Caenorhabditis elegans: one gene and its partners. The protein of the gene in region 2 purifies or fractionates together with the protein of the main gene of each other region. This does not show direct contact. Each region holds a gene or a part of one and is shown on either strand. Other genes may lie near its edges.

Region 1 (4,986 bases), on a different chromosome or scaffold from region 2:
ACAATCTCTTGATTGAGAACAAACCACATTCATCTTTAAGTTCACCATCTATCTGTGGATACAACGACAAACTGCCTAAGTTCGGCCATGTCGAAAAGATTTGATCTAGAAAGGTGATTGGGATTGTATCTAGCTTAACCATTTCACTTAGAATAATGTGGTTGACATTTCGAATATTTGAGAAATGGTGAATCTTTTGTTGACTCATTCCTTGCTTCCAAAAAAATATTATATTTGATTTGAGATGTGTTTGGTGGAGGTTCAAAATCGTGTTTCGAAGCATTTCGTGAACTACTTTTAAGGTTGATCCATTGAAATAAAATTTGATTATACTGCTGGCTTCATGGCACGGAGTTGCGCTGAAATGCAAAATTAAAATTATTTACTGTGCTGGCCACAAACGGGGCTTCGTGAATTTTGGACTGTGTTAAATTAACCATAACTTAAAAGCTAATCATTATTTTCGAAAACGGTCAACTAACAAAACGTTGGTCATTATGTTGTTGACATTGCCTGACCGATATTATTTTACAAAAACTGCCCTGAAAAACGGTACAGCGACAGACATCTGGCTGGTCGATTTTTGACCTCGAATCTGAAATCGTCTGTAACTCAAGAAAAAATCGCTTCCATGAGAATAATTGAATTAATAACATGATCTTCATAAACATTTATGCCCTATGCATATAATAACTTTGTCCTCAACCCGCCGGGAAGTGAATGATATACAACTAAGCCTATATATTCCAAACTGTTGTGGATCATATTTCATAAAAATGATAGGACTTTTCAGAGTATTGTTTTCAGGCGTGAAACGACCTACATAACTATGATAAATTATTGATTCTTCAAAAAAACAAATGAATAATCAAAAGCAATCATTATTTTCGAAAACCGGCAACTAACACAATGTTGGCCATTATGTTGTTGACATTTCCTGACCAATATTATTTTACAAAAACTGCCTTGCAAAACATTACAGCGGCAAACATATGGCGGGTCGGTTTTTAACCTTGAATCTGAAATTGTCTGTAACTCGATAAAAATTGCTTCCATGAAAATAATTGTATTAATGAAATAATTTTTACTAAAGATGGAAGCGATTTTTTCTTGAGCTACAGACGATTTCAGTCAAAAATCGACTAGCCAGATGTCTGTCGCTGTACTGTTTTACAAGGCAATTTTTGTAAAATAATACTTATCAGACAATTTGAACAACATAATGACCAGCATTTTGTTAGTTGACAGTTTTCGAAAACAACGTTTAGTTTTTCAATTATGGCCATTCAAACAAAGCCAAAAAAAAAAACGAAAAACCGTTTGTGCATATCTTTTTGGCCAGCATTGTATTTACAGTAAGACTTTTGTATTACATGTGTAATATGGACATATTGGATACCCTATACTTACAGTCTTTCGGTCAGAACTTTTCAAAGTACAGTTTTTGAAAATTTTGATTGAGCTCGGCTGCGCTTAAGAGAACTCAAAAACGCTGATAATCAGGCTAGTATATTTTCAAAACGTAAGGAACTGACCAGTAAACCATTGTTTGTCCAATTTTCAATTTAAACCACTTTTCTTGCTGAATAATGTCTTCTCTTGACGCTTCTCTAATTAAAAACGATAAGTGTTCACTTAAATTATTAATGTCCTTCATTTGCATGACGTAAGAACGTTCAACGGATAAATTCGAACACGAATGGATCATCGACGAGTATCCTTTTTTTATTGATTTTCTGGCCAACGTTTCAGTTTTGGAAGAGCAAAATGAAAAGTTAAGCACGTCGATGAAGCTCATTTCCTGAGGAATTTGCCTACGGATCACAAGTGGAAAGGTGAAGAGGTTGAAGGGCATTCTGAAAAAAAAAACTATATACATTATGTAATAAGAGGAAATGGTAAGCAGCAACTTATAGAGAAAAGAGAAAATTCAATACAAAAGTAATTGTTTTTTTTTGAAAAAAAAAATTGTGCATAGTGATAGCGATAGTGCAGGATTAATTATCAATAGAATTGTATAAGTGCCAGGCTCATAAAAAACAGCGATTGAAAATAAAGCCATTGAGTACAGAGCAAAACCGATTAAAGCCTCGATGTTTTATTCATCTTGATTTGAACTTCAACATTTTCGGGGAAAAAAACGATAAAGCACCATGAATATAACATTCATACAACATTTGGTGGTACCTAAAAACTTCAAAAATATGGAGCTGTGTGCTGGCCAACCGAGGGGTCAACCATGTGACGTATTGCGTCTTCCCACCGATGCAGTCTCCCGCTGGTCTATGGAATTGCGGGAGGCGTCAACTTGCAGGACCAATTTTTCGCTGAAAACGGTTAAAGGTGGAGTAGCGCCAGTGGGGGAATTGCTTTAAAACATGCCTATGGTACCACAATGACCAAATATCATAGTAAAAATTAAAAAAAAAATTTCTAAATTTTATATGATTTTTTGAAAATTGAAAAAATCTCGAATTGCATCAAATTCCTATTTGAATTACCGCCAATAGTTCGATGTTCGATGGAGCGCGCTTGCATTATTTTAAATTTAAAATTTCGAATCTAAATCTTTGAAATAGATTATTTCAGGCTCAACGTCGTTGAAAAACGTGATATCTCTGTTTTCAATTATTTTTAGTGAACAATCTACATTTATCTTGAATTTTTCGATAAATCTCCAGTAAAATTACTCAAAAAAAAACATGAAAAATCAATTAAAAATAAGAAAAATTAATAAATAAAAGTTAAAATAATGCAAGCGCGCTCCATCGAACATCGAACTATTGGCGGTAATTCAAATAGGAATTTGATCATTGTGGTACCATAGGCATGTTTTAAAGCAATTTCCCCACTGGCGCTACTCCACCTTTAACTAGCAACATGTATAGATTCTTCTTATGAAATCTAATTTGCAAAAATTAGAGCGGTCTGATGGACTAGATTTTCTGAGCACTTTTTTTTTACGAGTCTACTGTTCAACAGAGTGAAATTTAGAATTGAAAGCTTAATAACTGCCGAGAGTTTATAGGGCCCCAGGCCCTATAAACTCTGACTAGATCTTGCCTACCTGTTTTTTTAGACAAAACACCATCTGTCCTAAATAACCGTACCACCCTTTTGCTCAGCGAAATGACCCCAGCTGCAAATGCGCCCTAATTTCCAGCCAATATAAAATCGATATAATCTCAGTGGGGTCTTGCTGTGCCATTCTCGTCGTTACACCTGCACACTATGTTAAATTCAAAACCAGTAAGCTACCAAGTATTGAAGTTCATATTGAAGCATTTGGATCCAAGTTTGAGGTGAGTATTTTGGCTTGGAAAAGTTACGTATTTAGAGGGTTGAGTTTTGAGAATGACGGAGTTTTCGGAGTTGAAATTTTTGGGTATAGAGGAAATTCATCCAAATCACAGCTCACATTATGTTTCAAGCTTTTTGCTCAAGTGCCACACAATTTTTTAATACATAGCTAAACCTACCTAACTATAAGTATATTTCAGAATCCAACTCTGCCTCGTCTGCCCTTCAATTCATACCTTAGAAAAATCAACCCCTTCCTACATCCACTATCTCAAGATAACAGATAACAGCGTGACAGTTAACCGGGTAACCTGTCAAATTACAGTTACCGATAGAAAAGTTGATTATCAATTTGATATCAATCAATTCCCAAGTATCAGTGGTACAGTCGAACTAAGGAATAGTAGAAATAATCTGACCAAAACTATGAAGTACCTTCTCGACAAACTCTTTAAAGGAAGAACTGTGAAAGTGGGCCAACTTGCAATTTCTTGTGAAAATCCTCTACGGGTTCCGTTAGCTGCCAGGATCAATGTCAATGTTTTGGAGGTTTTTGATTCCCGGAGCTTGTCGGCTGCTAGTTCACTAATTGCAAACTCTTGTCTACCATTAAGCTTGATAAAACTCCCATTTAAAAGCCTTCTGAAGACTAATAACAATCCAATTACATCAATAGTAAACCGAAAAACTAAAAAATGGCACTTCAAAGCTCCAACCACAGCTCCACACAACCTCAGGCGGGTACTGACGTTCCTGCAAAATCGGAGAGTTACAACTGCACATTTCGAAAGGGGACACTTCTGCTTTTCAATTGTTATAGAATACTTTATGGGTGATAGTGATATAGAAAATGGAACTTATTATACATTTGACACAACTAGGGGAGCTGTATTTGTAGTTATGGAGAGGAGTAGGAAGAGGTATAAAGCGATGTTGGAAGATGGGTAAGTTAATCTAAGGTTGAATATTTTCAAAAAAAATCTAAAGTTGAATACTTTCAGATCTTCTCGACGTTCCAATCAGCTCACCATCAAGAAGAACAGCACCTCGAAATTGGTTATCAGCAAGATACAGCAGGGAGATGCATGGATTTTGGGTTTCAAAATTGAGCGGCGAAGACTTTTCCCTACTTTTTTTTGAGAACAACTAATCGTTGAAAAAATGAAAGAATTCCTATGAAACTGTTTTGTCTTGTGACTTGAGAACTATCGGATTTCTGTGTTTTTGGAAAAATATCACAGCGGCAGACATCTGGCAGGTCTGATATAGTTTTCGTTTAGAAAGATTCGTACTTTTTACAACTTTTCTAAAACCTCTCCATCCCAAAAAAGAAGATTTTGCAAGGGTCGAGCCACTTTCAGAAGATACTCGATCAAAAGCTTCTGCATGCCAGGTCAGGATAATTCTGAAGCTAGAGATCTGGTTCAGGGACACCTGATCAAGTTATTTGACCACGTCCAGCTGACCACCACTGTGCTGCTGCAAATCTGCTCTAATTGTCAACGGGTCGAAAGAATTACATTGGGGTTCTCTTGGTCATTCTAGCCTCTTACCAGTTGATCCTAACATTGAAATGCTTAACATTTTCCTAGGCTGAAACCAAAATTTCATCAAAATCACCCTTGAACATAATAAAAAATAATAAAAATGTGATGCCTCGTTAGGGATCGAACCCCTGGCCTATTG
Region 2 (8,396 bases):
TTTGATACCCATCAACGAATATTATTTCTGAACCATTCAGGCTTAAACTTTTCCGGAATACTGATTTATTTCCTATGGGTCACTCCGGCAACTTACACGTGAGTTTTTAATTTAATTTGCCTTTTAATTTGACCAAAATCAAAAGAATATCTCAAAAACTAGTGAAGTTATCGATTTTCGAAAATTTTCGAAAATTCAAATAATCTCCTAAACTAGCGTTAACTTGCTCAGTTTCAGTTTTTAGTAAATAGATTGTACATTTTCAAAATCAGCACACTTATGCGGTTCAAATAAATATAATCATGACTAGGTTTCCGCAAATGGCCTAAATCGGCCTATTCCGGCCTGAAAAATTTCCCCGTATTAAATATAAACAAGTTACAGCTAGTTGTGTTAATTTTCAGATTTTCGAAACTTTTCGAAAATCCATAACTTTGTTAGTTTTCAACATTTTTCAATGATTGTAGTGTCATATGGAAGCTTAATTTTCATATTTTTTGAAAAAAATAGCCTGAAAATTTTCAGACAATCCGTAGAGGCTGCCGGCTCGATTTTCGGAAAAATTATCGGCCAAATATATACTTTCATCTGGATTTCTATTATTTGGTCTCACATTTTGCTCAGTTTATGCTCTCTGTTGTCCGTACACATTCCATCCAGAAATCAATCGATATTCTCCCGCCAAAACTGCATTTTCTGCCTAATTTTCATATTTTCTCTGAGCTTTTTCGAAATTGGCCCACTTTTTGCCTACGAGACCTGCTTTATCGCCTACCAGCCTGCCACGTGGCAATGGTCGGCGCCTACAAAAAAATCCTGTGCCACCTACAGGCTTCTGGTGCTCCAGCTGCTCAGTGACCTTCTGCTCGTGGTTACTGTAGTTGGAAACTGCGCCACATGGATTTTCGCAGTGGTCAAAAGGAAAAATTTGAGAAATCCTAAAGAATTCCGGCTATTTTTAATGATTTTCGCTAGAAATTTAGGATTTTTGATTTTCGCCACATTATCAAGCTTTTGCACTGGTTTGGTTAAGCAGCAATGGAAAAAATATGCACTCACCAGCCTGAGTTGGCAGGTTTATCACCTTTTTGACAGGTCAGTTGGCTTAAAATATTTTTCATGAAAAGTATAGAAAATTAGCTTCAAAATGACACAAAAATCATAGACAAATCACAAAATTGGAGAAAGTTATGGATTTTCGAAGAATTTCTAAATTTCTTGAATTTTCAAAAACAACTAAAGATACCATAACTTGTTTATTTTTATTACAGAGCCCACAAAATTTTAATTATTTGTAATCAGCTAGTCAAGACGATTCAGATGAGTATAATCATGAGTAGGTTTCAGAAAATGGCCTAAATCGGCTTAAACCGACCTAAAACTGTCTGAAACTGTCTAAAGAATGCCTATAAAATGTCGAGTTTATATGGGATAATTTAAAACTAACTTTAATGTATAAATCGAGATGTAAACTTTTTTAACAACTACCACAATAATTTTAGTACTATTTCAGGCTTCAGGCCAATTTGGGCCCAAAATTTGAATTGTCGAAACCTAGTCATGATTATACATATTTAAAGTGCCTTGTCTTGCTAATTTCAAAAATATAAATAATATTTTTCTCATACCGAAATTGACTAAATTACAGCTCATTTTTTATTTCCAGTTATTTTTCATAATTTGTCGAAACTCTATAACTCGGTCAGTTTTAAAGATTTTTCTATGGTTTATGTGTTAAACGGTAGTTAAACTTGATCATCTCAGCGCCATCCTGGTTTTCACTCACTTTCACCGAAAGTTGCTCGCCGAGCACCACCCGGAACACGTGCATCCTCCAACAATGTCATGGATCCACGTGGATCAGCATGGATCTCATCATGGAGGCTCTCCAAATCACCGACCTATGATGCACTATAATGCACATGTAACAAAAGTTGATACGTATTGATTTTTTTTTGAGAAGCGCAATTTTTTTGGTTGTCTACATGTCGAGGGATATAAGTCGGCAACCACACATGTTAGCAAAAACATATCAACTATGAAAATGTTGCAAATTGTCAGAGCTACATTTTGTTTGTTTACAACTTTTTGGTAGCTTCTAGGGTTTCCGAGTTATATGGAAAAAATCTGGAAGTGGTTTTTTTTTGATATTTTGGAATTTTTTCTGAAATTCTTTTTTTTTCAATTTTTTCCTCTCACAAATTGCCGTAATTATCAATAAAATAAACATTTATTATTAAAATTGAAAATTATAGAAAAAAATTAAAAAGAATCAGTAGGATATCATTATGTTCAACTGAGATTTGGCACATTGGATTCAGCAAAGCAAAAAAAATTCAAAAATCGATATTTGAGGTTAAATAGGGGGTTCATGGCCTAGAAATCTGTAATTTACAGATATTTCTAGCATGTGAGCAAGTTGGCAGTTCGGCAAGCTGGATTAGAATTTTTTTTGGGAAAGTTTTTTTTTTTCGAATTTTTTAAACTTTTAATTAGATAATTATTTAGCATCTCTCTTGGATCTCTCCCTCCTTAAGTCCCAAGCATTTTCCCCATTCCTTAATTGAAATGTTTCCGTCATTGTTGGCGTCGCATCCCTCGAGGAATGGCTTGATGCAGGATTCCATTGGGATGACTGGAGCAGTGATTGGAATGAGCTCGTGGTGGGAGACGGACTGAAAATAGTGGGATTAGAGTGGGAAATTCAAAAAATTCAGAAAATTTTAGGTTTGGGTGGAAAATTAAAATTTAAAAATTTTCGAAAATGTTTTTTTTTAATTTTTTAAAATTTACAGTAGGGTTTTAAAAAAACTTTCAAAAAATGTTTTCTTTTTGGGAAATAAAACATTTTCTGATTTTTTTTAATTCTGAATATTTTTTTTTAACATTGTGTCTAAATTTATTAATTGATAAGTTTTGATTTTTTATAAATTAAAATTTTTTTGGCTTGAATTTTTTTATTTCTCAAAATTTCAATTTTAGCTTTTTTAAATATATCGTTTTTTTTTTAAACCAAGCTTCTTACTAACCTTATCATGTGGCTTGGTGTCAAGCTCGCAGAACTTCCAGATAACTGGGTACACGTGCTTCTTCTCGTCGTCGTTCTCGGCCTCGGAGAGGAGCTCTTCCCACTCGAGCTTGTGGAGCTCACGTCTCTTCTTAAGCTCCTTCATGACCTGAAACAAATTGAGATTAATAAAATTTAAGTAATTTATGGTGTTTCTTCAGTTGACAAAATTTCGCTAGCTTTGAAACAAGCGGAGTTGGATCGGTTTGAAAAAACGTTTTTTTTTTTTCATTTTTCGTTTTTTGTGGGTTTTTTGAGTTGCCGAATTTGCGGAGCGATAACTCGACAATCAGTTGGAACACACAAAATTTGTTTAAAAATATTTAAATTTCATAAAATTTGCTACAATTTCTCGAAAACAATTTTTTAAAAAGCAACCCTGGTTGCTGAGATATTCCAACTTGAAAAAAAAATCTACTAAATTTTTTGTTTTGAAATTTTTGAAATTTCAAATCCCCGCAACTCTGCTAGTTTTGAAGTTAACAAAATATTGTCAACTAACAAACTGCTTCAAACAACTTTTACGTTAATGTGCCATTTGTCAGTTTTTTAATGGCACCTATTAGCCTCTTTCAACCCCCACCTGGAAGAGCCAGTCAGCCATGCGTTCTGGGAATTGAGCCATGTGCTCTTCGGTGCACTCATCAAGCTTCTTGCATTCTCCGAGGTATTCCAAGTGGACTTTGGCGTTGAAAGCCTTGGAGCACTCCTTGGACTTTCTCTTGCACAAGCATCTCTCACGGTAGAGGTCACAGAGGGAGGTGAAGGTTTGGTTGTTGTTGGCGCACACCTGGAATGATAACTTTTGTTTGAAGAGGAGTAACATTGTTAGATTGCTAGATTTTAAAAAATTATTGATTAACAACTTGTAGAACATGTTTTAAGCTACATTTTAGTAGTTAGCAAATTTTTGATAGCTGTAACGGCTGAGGAGTTAGAACTTGTCAAAGTTCTAGTTTAAAAAAATTATAATTCCGCAACCAGCAGAGCTAAAAAAAAGTTATCAGTTAACAAAGTACTGTTAAAACTTCAAGCTTTAACATTTTGTTAGGTCCCACCTTATCCATCGGGTCTCCGTCGAGTTCTGGGCACTTTGAGATGCACTCACAAGTTGGTTCTCCCTTCTTTCCGACGACACATTCCTTTCCCCATCCGCACTGGTGGTCCTCGCATGGGTTCTTGGCTGGCTCTACTGCAAAATATAGTAATTTTCAGAAGAGTTTGAGAACTGTAAAATGATTTTCCAAGAGTTTGTAATATATTGCCAGTTGGCAAAAATTTGATAGTACTGAAACTGGCAGAGCTACAGGGGTCGGAAGTTGGCGAAATCGCCGAAGCGTATAGCTCGCCAACCAGTAAAGCTATTCAAAAATTGCCAACTAACAAAATATTGCTCACAAAATTTCCTAAAATTGTTGGTTGAAAACTCTTTGATAGCTCTAATGGTTGCGGAGGTATTTATATCAAAAGTTCGGCAGCCTAATTTAAAACCGGAATTTTTTGGCAATCATTAAAGTTAGTGAAAAATTGTCCGCTAACAAACGATTTCTCACAAAATTTCCTACAAATTGCCCACGCCTGATCTATTTTCAGCACTTTCATCTCTAGCTACCCCATCTAAGTTCCCCCATAAATATTAGTGCTCGTTTTCCTCTCTTGCTCACGGAGCCGCCGCCGCCGCAGCAGCCTTCATATTACAACACCACATGACGTGAAATGCACAAAGCTTCGAGCATCTTCGAAGGTTCTCCAACTTTACACTGCAGGAGCCCAGGAGATGGCTCCGTGAGCTGGCGGCTAGCTGGCCAGATGCAACAAGATTGATTGGGACATTGGCAGTTTATGAATCATCATCATTATCAGTCGGAAGGGGTTTCGAATGTGTTTTAAACTCTTTGGGTTTCTTGAGGATTGGGACTATGGATGATGGATGATAATTGATTAGGTTTTCGAAAATGCCGTAACTTTTTGAATTTTGTAGGAAGTTTTACAAAGTTTTAGTTACTTTGCTATAGGATATTTATTAATTTTATAACTCGTCAACTAAAGTTAGAAGCATGGTGCATCGAAGGATCGCTTTTGGTTTTATCAAGAATTTGTTTAAGAAACTAATTGTAGTTCTTTTAGTAACGCCTATGATTCTTGAGATTCACCGGTTTAAAATTGAAAAGGGACATGACTGTGCAAGTTATCAAAACGTTGTCAGCTAACAAGTTGTTGGAAAATATGTGAGCAGCACTAACGCTTGTGTCAGCTGCGATAGCTAAATTTTGACAAGCTGTAGCTTATGAAATTTGCATTAATTCGTTAGTTGGCAGATTTTGAATAGAACTGATAATTGCCGATATATACCGTATTCAAGTTTACTCACCACTCTTCTTCTCCTCATCAGCATCGATGTTGTCGAGGAGCTCTCCGAGCTCATCATCAGCGATCTTCTTTTTCTGAAAATTTCTCATTAATTCGCTGAAAAAATCCCCTCAAAGCCCATACCTTGGCGTCAACGAAAGACGAGGCTGCCAGAAGCAGGAGACAAGCGGCAAGAGCGTAACGCATCTTGGACGGCGAATGAAGAGGACCCGCTGGGGGCTCACCGAGCACACAGATCTGGGCGGAGCATGTGAGGAGACGGCTGGCACAATGTTGCACAATATCGGCCCGGTGGAAAAGAAAGACAGAGAAAATTGACACAAGATTGATTGGAATTATCGAAAGTGCAATTTATTGGGAGAAGGGACTATGGAGAAGTGACTAATATTAATTGGATTGTGCAATAAACTTTAAAATTAAATAATGTGCACTTTTTTATAGTTCATCTTCAACATTGTTCTTGGTTTTCTCCAAGATATAAACCACCAAAGTTGAGATCTAAGACATGGTGCATCGTTAGGAAAGTTCTCCATTTAAAGGCTCATATCTCGGTTTTTTCTTTTTTGTTTAAAAGTTATCAACTAACAAAATGTGTGACATATTCTTATATATGCATTTAATTTTATTGTTTCAATCATTTTCATACGATTAAAAATAATTGTAACCATGATATGATCCTCCAAAGTTGAAATTTAAGACATGGTGCATCGTAAGGGAAAATGTATACTTTAACAGCTGATATCTCGATTGTCTTCTGTTTTGTTCAAAAACTGTCAACTACAAAAATGTTTGACATATTCTCATATATAAATTTGTTGTTAGAATCATGTTTATACACTCAATTGTAATCAAGATATGATCCTTGAAAGGAGACCCATGTGCAGCGTAAGGAAAAATCTCTACTTTGACAGCTGATATCTCGATTGTCGTTAGTTTTATTCAAAAATTGTCAACTGAAAAACACTTATCATCTTTATTCTCTACCTTTCTACATAGTTATAGTATTTTTATATCACTAATTGTATCTGTGGTATAAGCTGACAGACATGTTGCATCAAAGCTTCATTTATTTTTTATTTACAAAATTTGGAATGAATATTTTTCATATTTTTACCTTCTACTTTTACTGTTTTCAAAATTTCCGAGCAGCTGGAAAATGGTCAGAAAAAACAAAAGTTATCAATGAATTGTAAACTATTTGTAGTGGAACTTATTTTGATGGCACAAAAACCGTTAAATTTGTAATTCGAAACATGGTGCAGCGAATCTCTGCTCCCATAAGTTTTGACTTAATATGCTCCTTATACTCCTGTTCGTTCCTAAATAAATTCCACAGGTCACTGCAAGTAGTTTTGTCCTGTAGCAACGCATTTTCCATTCCAGTTGACCGCTATCAAATTACATCCGTACTAACAACAGCTGTCGGTGTCCTGTTTACTTCAAAACGCTGTGCTTTTTCATATTTTTTACAGATCGTGGCAGCCGACAAAGTGTAAAAATATGTTGCACTTTTGATCGATATTGAGTTCTGCCTTCTGTTAGTGAGGAAATCTTCAATTGTTCATATCTCATTGAGAATATAAGTTATCGAAAAGTTGTCAACTAACAATCTATTCTACGTAACAATTCCTACATTTTGTTCGTTGACAACATTTTTGTAGCTCTTCTCTCCACTGAGTTATGAATTTTTTAAGATTTAAGATTGTGCGGCGAGAGAGTGTGGGGTGAGGGGAGACGCAGAGCGCGCGCGCAGCCTGCGTCTCTCTTCCCTCTGCGCTCTTTCCCGTTAGTTATTTCAGGAGCCGTTTTCTCGGCGGGGAGAAGAGGTAGAAAAAAGTTTTCAACTGACAAAATATAAGGAATTTCGAGGAGATTATGTGTTATGATAATAGTTTTTTGTAAAATTGAAATGGAAGAGTTTGCCGAACTAGGTCATTTTGGCTCGGCCATATCTTCATTTACGGCGCGTTGCGTGTCGCGTCGCGGCTCGATTCGGTTATTAGTTGTAAAACTAAATGTATTTGTCGACTTTCCCACACGTTGTCCGGCGGCCGATTGTCATTGGAGCGCGAAAAATTCAATAAGGAAGGTCAGAACCCCGTGTAACCGCTTCGAAATGGGTTCACACAAAAATGCTCATTGAAATGAAAACCTACGGAAATTGTGTGAACCAGATGTGTTTTGTTTATTGCTCATAGAAATAGAGAGATAGTTTTTATCGAAACCCTTCACATTTTTCCATCAGTATTCCATAACAACACCCATCGATTGTTTAGATGTTTGAGCTCCCCGATGAGTTGGCTCGGGGTGACCCCTCTCAACGACAGCTGTCTTCTTCGACTTCTTCTTTTTCATATACTTTTAGGCGACGACCTCTTTGGAATTTGGGCGGTTGTTTAAAGAAGGAAAGGACGATGATGATGAGTAGATAATGACAGCTGTTGGACAGAAGGCTCGAATGAGCCAAAGTTCCAAGTTAAAATTTTCAGGGTTTTCGGCTGGGATAGGCTAGGAAAAAATTTATTCCAATATTTCAAAAAATTATGTATTAACCATGACGATACCAATCCATCATATGCTTGTACTGCTCTGGTGGAATACTCTTATCAACAGCTGCCAATTCATCATTATACTTCTTTTCGAGCAGTGCTTTGTCTTTCTCGTGTTTCTCCTCAATTCCGCTGATCATTTGAGCCCACTTCTTGTCGATTCCGAACTTGATCATACTTTGAAGAAAATGGTGATCAGCTGGAAATAGATTTTAGCAGTGAAAAAGAATGTAGTAATTGGAGATCTCTTACACTCTTCTGCAGCCGAAAACACCACCAGGAGCCCAACAAGAACAAATAGTTGTTTTAACATTTTCATCGGCTATCAACGGTTGAATGTTTATATATTTTGCCCCCGGATGCCTCATAAACTCCAACGGAACTTTATGGCCTATAACTTTAGCGTTTTA
Region 3 (8,499 bases), on a different chromosome or scaffold from region 2:
GTCGTCTACGTGAGTTGCAATATTCTAGAAAATTTATTCTGAATCATACCTTTTCAGCCATCTCCCAACATACATCACTGCTTCGTTCCTCAAACGACTCTCCCGATGCCTTCTTCTTGCTCCAATTGATGCTCAGGAACCAATTCTTGGATTAATTAGAAATCTTGTGATTAGACATCCAAACTGTTCTGAATTGGTTCATCGTGAGGTTCCTCAGACTCTTTACGATGATCCTTTCGACAATGATGAGACAGATTTACACAAAACTCGCGCATTGGAATCAAGTCTTTGGGAGATGAAACTTCTTCAATGTCACTGGAATCAAAGTGTCAGAAAACGAGCTCATTTCGTTGATAAATCGATTCAAAAAATTGAGTCTTACGTTCGATTCCGATGCACCGACGAGTTATTCTCTGTAAACATGGCAAAATCATTTGGCGGAGAGGATGGAGAAGCTGAAAAATATCGAAAACTGCAAGACGGGGATGAAGACGAAGAGGGAACAGGAAAGCCGGAACCGAAGAAAGCTCGTAGAAAAGGATTTGGTGGGAAATTCGCTCCAAAACACGAAGAAAAAGTCACAAGAGCAGTCGGTGTGAACTCTGAAGCGCCGAAAGGAATTCTTGATAGACAAGTTCCAATCATCGATGTTCCAACTTTATGGAAAATTTAATCAGATTTTTTGTTACAGTTATTGTTGTTCCACTTTTGTTGTTGTTTTTCCGTTTTCTCGTTTTTATATTTTAAATTTTCAAAATAGTACTGTTGTTTTTCTTTTAAAATAATTATTCCAGTGTTTTATTCACTGAAATCATATTTAAATTAAATATCTTGTTCCAATTTCTTATCCATTTTTCTTTTTTTGATTAAAAATATTTTTACAGTTCACAATGAACCTTAACAGCCCAGCTGTATCAATGCTTGGCGGTGACACCCCTGCACATGGTGGACCGAATTCCGTACTTGGAGGTCAAGGACCCTCATCAATTCTCACGGGACACGGTCCCAACTCTGTAATGGGACCAAACTCGATTCTTGGACCTGGAAGTGTTCTCAATCCACAATCAATTCAACCAATGCAATCACAACAAATGCACAGTAAGTTATTTGTGGAAAACTCATTTCAGGGTTTTTGCTTGAAAAGGATAAAACTAGCCCAAAATTAACTAATTTTTTTTAAAGAGACTGCTCATAAAATTTTCACTATTTTTTATGGCATGACAAAAAGTAAATTAACAAGAAATCAGAATTTTGCTGAATCCCGAGACTTCTATCACAGCAGCTGAATTACAGATTTTTTGAATTATCACCCTTTATAGAATATTTTGTTAGTTTTTCGTTAATTTCGGCAAATTTTTATGTCGTTAGGCGTCTAAAAATGAACATAATTGGCATGTCGATCATAAATGGGACTGAATCGACGATGTGAAGCGAGATAAACAACTAAATTATAAAATTATAAATTGTTCAATAAAATACACTAATTAAAAAAAACTGTATCCTAACTGATGCGACAAGGAAAAGTTAGCGAAATTTCAGATTTAAGCGAAATTAATACGTTTTTTTTTCGAAATTTTAATATTGTACAGTTTAAAAAATTTATGAAAAAATCTGATGAACTCTCTGTGCACGTTTATTTTAGCCGTGACCAGTCTTTCAACTTTATAACCTTTTTTCAGTCTTAAAGCCGTTTGTCAAAATTAAAGATTTATATTATTTCAGGCCTTCAAGGTTCTTCAATGCAAATGCATTCACATCTCGCCAACTCCAATCTCAACTTGAACATAAATCCAGCTTCAGTCGGACCTGATCGTAATCCTGGATCAGTTATGCATCACAATTTGGACATCAATCCTCCATCAGTTGCATATCAGAATTTGACAGTTCCAATGACACCACTTGCATATTCTGTATATGATCGAGATGCTCTGACACATCAGGCTCCGGCAAGTAACATCGCTGCCACAATGGTTCCAGCAACTCCAGCAAGTCAATTGGATATTCCGATGCCAGCTCTTCAGAACATTGTCTCTACAGTCAATTTGGGAGTTCAATTGGATTTGAAGAAGATTGCATTGCACGCGAGAAACGCCGAATACAATCCAAAACGTTTCGCAGCAGTCATTATGAGAATTCGTGAACCAAGAACAACTGCTTTAATTTTTTCGAGTGGAAAAATGGTGTGCACTGGTGCGAAGTCAGAAGAAGCAAGTCGATTGGCAGCACGAAAATATGCGAGAATTGTTCAAAAGTTGGGATTTCAGGCGAAATTTACCGAATTTATGGTAAGTGTTTCTGGAAAAAGGTCACAAAATCATTTGAATAATTTTTTTGTAGGTTCAAAACATGGTTGGTTCTTGTGATGTTCGTTTTCCGATTCAACTTGAAGGATTGTGCATTACTCACTCTCAGTTCAGTACTTACGAACCAGAATTGTTCCCTGGATTAATTTATCGTATGGTCAAACCAAGAGTTGTGCTCCTTATTTTTGTGTCTGGAAAAGTGAGTTTAAGTTATGAAATAACCTTTTCTATGTTAAATTTTCAGGTTGTTATCACTGGAGCAAAAACAAAGAGGGACATTGACGAAGCATTCGGGCAGATTTATCCAATCTTGAAGGGATTCAAAAAATAACTTTCTTTTATTAAAATTGTTTTCATTCTTCTTTATTTTCAAATTTTTGTTTCATTTTAAGCCTTCCCTTATCCCTAAACCCGGATCTCGTATAATACAGGTAAAGTAGCTTCATTTTAGACATCTATGCACTTTAGAACCACTTTCTTCAGTCTACCAATCCGATAAAATCGTTTCGAATTCAATAAGCTTTCGATTAATTACTGCTCACCATTTCTCCCCGTACCTTGTATAATTTTGTTGATGTTATTTTTTTTTGAAGAAGTGACATTATCAATGTTCTTTTCAACTTTCCTCTTGTTTTTCAAATTTCTCCCGTATTATTGAGAATAAAGTATTAAAATAGTTGTTGTTCAATCTACGAAATTGAATTTCTGATAATTTCTGTAATATATTTATTCATATTTCAAATTTATAACATTTCAGATTGAAATTTATCGTTTTAGATGATTCCAGCTGATATTATTGCATCAATTGCTGGATTAGTAAATGAAAAAGATATTGAAAAGGTATTTCATTGGTTTCTACATTTTCAGATATAAAAGAATATTTCTTAACCCGACAAAACTCGGATTTCGATCTCACTGTCAATTCTGTTTTTAAAAAAGTAATTAAGTTTCGAATTTAGTAGAATTTCTCCAAAATTTTTTTGCCAAAAGACTAGGAAAATTTAAAAAAAACAAACAAACTGAAATTTTAAAGGTTTAGTGAAAAAACTCCGAAAGAGAAATTGAAATTAGTGAAAACACAAGAAAACCAGAAAGAAAGTCGATTTTAATTTATTTTGAATCCGTAACAACTCAAAAACTTGAGCAAAAGTTTCGAGACCCGAAGAACTCGAGGGATGTCCAACTGGGGGGATTACCAACTCGGGGGATTGGCCCCGCCCACAGAACCGTGGCTTGCAATACGCCCATTTTTGCAACTGCCGCACGGTTTTAAAATTATTTTTCTTGTTAATTCTCGCTCTATTGAGAAAAATACAGTTTTAAAACCGTGCGGCAGTTGCAGAAATGGGCGTATTGCAAGCCACGGTTCTGTGGGCGGGGCCAATCCCCCGAGTTGCTAATCCCCCCAATTGGACATCCCCCGAGTTCTTCGGGTCTCAAAGTTTCAAATTAAAAAAAACAACACTAGAACCATAAACATCACATGTTGCTAAAGAATATCCGCGAAAAATGTAGAATAGTTTTTTTTGGATTTTTTTCCAAAAACTAATTTTTCGTCAAAATACAAAAAAAAAACACATGGTTATAAGATCGCTCACTTTTGCGCAAACAGTTTTTTGAAAATATAAAGATTCATAGTATCCGAATGAATTCAATTTTTTCAGATCACTTCTGAGTATCAGGACAACATTTGGGAATTCGTGGAATCACTTGTGACTCATGTTCTTGCCAGTAATCATGTTGGATATTCTGGTAAGAATGAATATTTTAACACCCTAAAAATATTAAAACGAGATAGAAGTTTGGAAAAAAAATTCAATTACAAAACTTATTTTTTTTAATTCAAAAATCGTACAGTAGAAATAATAGTATAAGGTTCGATGTGCTCTGTGAGCCAGAAGCTGCAAAAAAGAAGTGCAACAGGCTGGCTTCTCTGTGCTCTCCAGGCGCCGGTCGGTGTATGGGCTCGGCGCTCGGCGCCCGGAGCCTCTGTCTCTGTTGTGTTACTTCGTGTGTGCATGTGCTCTGGAGAATAAGGAAAACGAAGAGAAAAAAGCAAAGACGAAACGAAAAAAAAACGGGGGAAAAAGCAAGCACATGCATGCGAAAAGTGTGTTGAAACTGGAGAACTTCTCGTGCTATGTGGAGCCAACGACAGCGAAACGAGTCGGCGGCGATGGTTGGGTGGATGAGGGCTTCGTCTAGTGGGAATCGACGGTTTGGTTCGATTCTCTACCCCTTCCACGACGCATTGATTTTAGGTTAGGCGGTTTTGCAATAATGAGATAGGATTCCTCTAGGGATGAGGATCAAAATAAATCTATTTTTGAATTTTTCACAAAAAATCAACTAAAAGTCGTAACTGTAGCAAATCGTCAAAAATTGTAGGCATCCTGAAGAAACCTGGCACCAAAAAATCAGAAGGACTGAAAAAAACCACTCATTATTTTTGAATTTGGATTTTCTCAAGTTTCAAAAGAACAGAAAATTTTCAAGCTATTTTCAGATTATAACACATCCTCGTTCATATCAGAAGAACTCGCTCGCCAAAAATTATCATGTGGTCTGAATATACCAAATGCTGTGTCAAAGTCCTTATGGGCACTACACTTGGCACATGAACACGTGGAAAAATTGAAAGATCTTTCTGATATACCTCCAATTGGATATCGTGTTATACTTGAGTTCTACCTAGTTTGGCAACAGCTTCTCATTGATCCAGAGGAAACTATTCGCACTGAAATTGAACCAATTGTAAGTTAAAAAATATATAAATGTGGATAAAAAGGTTATACTTTTTTTTTTTTTTTTTTTTTTTTTGAAAAAAATTTAAAATTTATTCAAAAAAAAATCAGACTTCTTTCTTGGCTTTTTTCTACGGTTTCGACGAGGATGTTTCAGTTGATCCTCCACATTCTTCTTTGATTGTTTGCATTCCTTCGATACCGTTCAGTTTCTTCTTTCTTCATGTCTTCTTTGCCTGCAGGTTTACAAACCGCACTTTTTGAATGAAGAACTGTCAGAATCACGAACACGATTGTAGTGATGATTCCGATACCTCCGAAGACAGCCGAAACTATCATTAGCATGCTAGATGGCAAAATAAAGTGCTTTTCACTCATCTTTTTGATGAATGAGCGTTTTTAAAAACTCGAAAATACTTGAAATTTATGAGAAAATTTTTATTCAGTTTAGAAACTAATATTTTTCAGATGGAGAAGCTTAGAGTTTTGATTGCCGAAGAAAATGATGCATTCACTTCAGAAGATCGATGTCAGATACAACTCGAGATGGCAGCTGTACGGTTTCAATTTTATGAATACGACAAAGCAGATAACCTGATTAAAAGTGCAAGTGAAGAATGTCAACTAAACATGGATTTGAGTGGAATGATGGGAAAACGAACACGGTTCCAACAGAGAGATATTGCACAACTAGTTTTGATTCATAAGGATCCATCAACTACTGGAACACCTCTTCCTCCAGATTCTGATATTCCGCAGAGTTTGGATATGAATGATGATACTCTTCTTGAACAAGTTGCTATTACTGAACAAGGAGCAAGAGTTGATGGAAGAACACTGAATGCATGCCAACTTTCGTGTCTGTTATGGATTGCTCGACATGAATCAGCAACTCATCGTCATGATGTATTAGTTCACGAACGATGTTCACCAGTGTTGGATACTGTAATTGCAGCAAGAAGATATTGGAGTATTCAGGCAGCTGCTCTTTTGGCTCGTGCAGAACTTGAAAGAGGTCGAGTGAGACAAGTGGATCGTTCATGTACACAATCTGAATTGGTGGTAAAGTTACAACAAGGAGTTGATGATCCAGTTCTTATTAAAGGTGATTACTGAACTTTTATATTCAATGGAGAAGTTAAAAAAAGGGTAGAGCTCGAAAAATAATTTTTTTTTGAAAACAAAAAAAAAGTGTTTTACAATAATGAGAAGTTTTGCAAGTTTTATATTTTTATAGAGTTAAAAAAATTTCGATCATATATTTCCACGATAGTTACAATCAAGAAATCATCGAAAAAATATTTCAAAATTTTAGATCGTCTTCTCCGCACGTCATATATCCTCGCATCTGGTCTCACTCCATTTTGGCAATCTTCTGTTCTTCTGGCTGGTATTCTCAATTCTCTTGGATGTACTTCTGAAGCTTTGCTCATTCTGGAAAAGCTTGAAATGTGGGACGGGGTTATTGACTGCTACAAGCAACTCGGACAAATGGACAAGGCTGAAACTCTTATCCGCCGTTTAATTGAGCAGAAACCAAATGACTCTATGCTTCATGTATACTTGGGAGATATCACAAGAAATTTGGAGTATTTCACAAAAGCTATCGAATTATCTGATGATCGGAATGCAAGGGCTCATCGATCACTTGGACATCTCCTTCTAATGGATAAAAAGTTTGAGGAGGCCTATAAACATTTAAGAAGAAGTCTGGAATTACAGGTTACTGATAAAACTAATTATATTTTTATACAACTTTTTTTTCAGCCAATTCAATTAGGAACCTGGTTCAATGCTGGCTACTGTGCATGGAAACTTGAAAATTTTAAAGAATCCACTCAATGTTACCATAGATGTGTATCCCTTCAACCTGATCATTTCGAAGCTTGGAATAATCTATCAGCTGCCTACATTCGACATGGACAGAAGCCAAAAGCATGGAAACTTCTACAAGAAGCTCTTAAATACAACTACGAACATCCGAATGTATGGGAGAACTATATGCTTTTATCAGTAGATGTTGGAGAATTTTCTCAAGCAATTCAAGCCTATCATCGTCTTTTGGATATGAATAAACGAGGAGCTGACGATGAAGTTTTGGAATTAATTGCTCAAACACTTTTAAGAAGAGAAGCTGAAATTTCAATGGATGAGAGCGAGGATAAAGCTCAAAATGAAGCAGAAAATCGGAAGGAAAAAGAAGAAATGATCAAGTTGTTGGCCAGAATCTCAGCGAATCATCAAACTTTATCCCCAAAAGTAATTTTTTATCGAAAATTTAAAACTTTCTAAAAAAAAAAAAATTAAATTAAATTTCAGACTCTCCGTGTCTACGCTCTTCTCAAGAAGCCATCTGTTTTATCATCGGAAACTCGAACCGAATTTGAAAAGTATGTGCGATTACTGGAGAAGAGTCTAGCTGCAGCAAATGGAAAACTGACGTGGCCAAAAGAAGAGAAATTGGCGTTGGAAGTTGTTGAAACTGCTGTACGATTAGCCGAAGATCGTCTAGAGTTGGCAAAGTTCATCGCATCGGATACGTCTGTGAAAGAAGTAAAATAGATCATGTTTCCGTTATGTATCTAAATTCATTTTTACAGGCATCCGCTAAAGTTCGTTTATCTCTTCGTGGCATTCTTACTCGTCTTGATAAGGATTCAGGAAGCCGCGTGTCTGGTGATGAGACGGAGAAACTTCAGGAGATCGTAGAAGTTGCCAAAAGTCTTCTGGATAGTGTGGCAATTTGAATCTCCAAAAATTCAAAATTTAATAAAAATATTCCCTGTTAATCTTTGATTTTCTCCCAGTGAACGATGTTGTTTATTTTGTTTTTGTTCTAATCTTAATTCAGTTGTTATTGTTTTGTTTTTCTTGTTCTGTTTCAAGTAATTTAATTCATTTAAATTTTTTTTTAGTAATTCAAATGAAAATTGATAGATACATTGAAAACTACACATACCCTGATTTTTTTCGCGGGGAGACTGAAGAAAATGGCACCGGAGCGGCTTTTTACTTGAAAATTGGTCAGTAGAAATGAGAAAAACGAAGAAAAACAAAGCAAATTACCATTTTGAAAGAGCGATCGAGAGTTTTTCAGAAAAAATTATTTTCTTGAAATTTTTTGAAAAGAAAAACTGACAATTTTTCTTTCCTGATTTTATTAAATTATTACCTGCTTGCGAAAAATTGTGATTTTTAACTTTGAATCACGGCTTTGGGTCTTGGCACGAGCCAAACTTTCCAGCTACCGTACACTGGAATATGGTAGATTTTTATTTTCATTTTCGCAATTTTCTGTTCAAATTGCAGTTTTAAATTTTAGAAAATGGATAAAGCAAAGAGAATGGTGAACTGCAGACAAAGTGTTAAATACTCGCAGAGCGGGCACTGTAGCTAAAAAGTTTCGCTCATCGCAGGGCCCACTGCCATGATTTTTGCGGAGATTTGATCGC

The links.
Region 1: the proteins of ost-1 (region 2) and fbxc-14 fractionate together in Caenorhabditis elegans (co-fractionation; one large-scale study listed by BioGRID). This does not show direct contact.
Region 3: the proteins of ost-1 (region 2) and trd-1 fractionate together in Caenorhabditis elegans (co-fractionation; one large-scale study listed by BioGRID). This does not show direct contact.

Annotation. Positions count from the first base shown.
Region 1 is NC_003280.10:971,072-976,057, forward strand, and holds fbxc-14 (F-box domain-containing protein), read left to right. Parts: upstream 1-3,227; 5' UTR 3,228-3,231; coding exon 3,232-3,302; intron 3,303-3,500; coding exon 3,501-4,244; intron 4,245-4,301; coding exon 4,302-4,440; 3' UTR 4,441-4,474; downstream 4,475-4,986. Other genes in the region: C32B5.15 (F-box domain-containing protein), read right to left, coding at 1-359, 1,536-1,879.
Region 2 is NC_003282.8:1,104,676-1,113,071, reverse strand, and holds ost-1 (SPARC), read right to left. Parts: upstream 5,677-8,396; 5' UTR 5,624-5,676; coding exon 5,561-5,623; intron 5,512-5,560; coding exon 5,439-5,511; intron 4,260-5,438; coding exon 4,126-4,259; intron 3,858-4,125; coding exon 3,651-3,857; intron 3,177-3,650; coding exon 3,030-3,176; intron 2,676-3,029; coding exon 2,505-2,675; 3' UTR 2,200-2,504; downstream 1-2,199. Other genes in the region: srx-14 (7TM GPCR serpentine receptor class x (Srx) domain-containing protein), read left to right, coding at 1-98, 526-1,095, 1,514-1,610; C44B12.3 (8 kDa glycoprotein), read right to left, coding at 7,986-8,185, 8,239-8,299. UniProt on the Caenorhabditis elegans protein: Has a high affinity for collagen. Affects nematode body morphology and mobility. Essential for C.elegans development and muscle function.
Region 3 is NC_003281.10:7,383,149-7,391,647, forward strand, and holds trd-1 (Tetratricopeptide repeat-containing protein trd-1), read left to right. Parts: upstream 1-3,080; coding exon 3,081-3,143; intron 3,144-3,967; coding exon 3,968-4,055; intron 4,056-4,472; exon of another isoform or gene 4,473-4,563; intron 4,564-4,809; coding exon 4,810-5,057; intron 5,058-5,515; coding exon 5,516-6,152; intron 6,153-6,362; coding exon 6,363-6,769; intron 6,770-6,814; coding exon 6,815-7,306; intron 7,307-7,366; coding exon 7,367-7,600; intron 7,601-7,647; coding exon 7,648-7,794; 3' UTR 7,795-7,987; downstream 7,988-8,499. Other genes in the region: T20B12.3 (nucleolar complex associated 4), read left to right, coding at 1-9, 58-673; tbp-1 (TATA-box-binding protein), read left to right, coding at 891-1,098, 1,723-2,285, 2,338-2,502, 2,548-2,634. UniProt on the Caenorhabditis elegans protein: Developmental protein required for cell fate determination in both the germline and seam cells of the developing epidermis.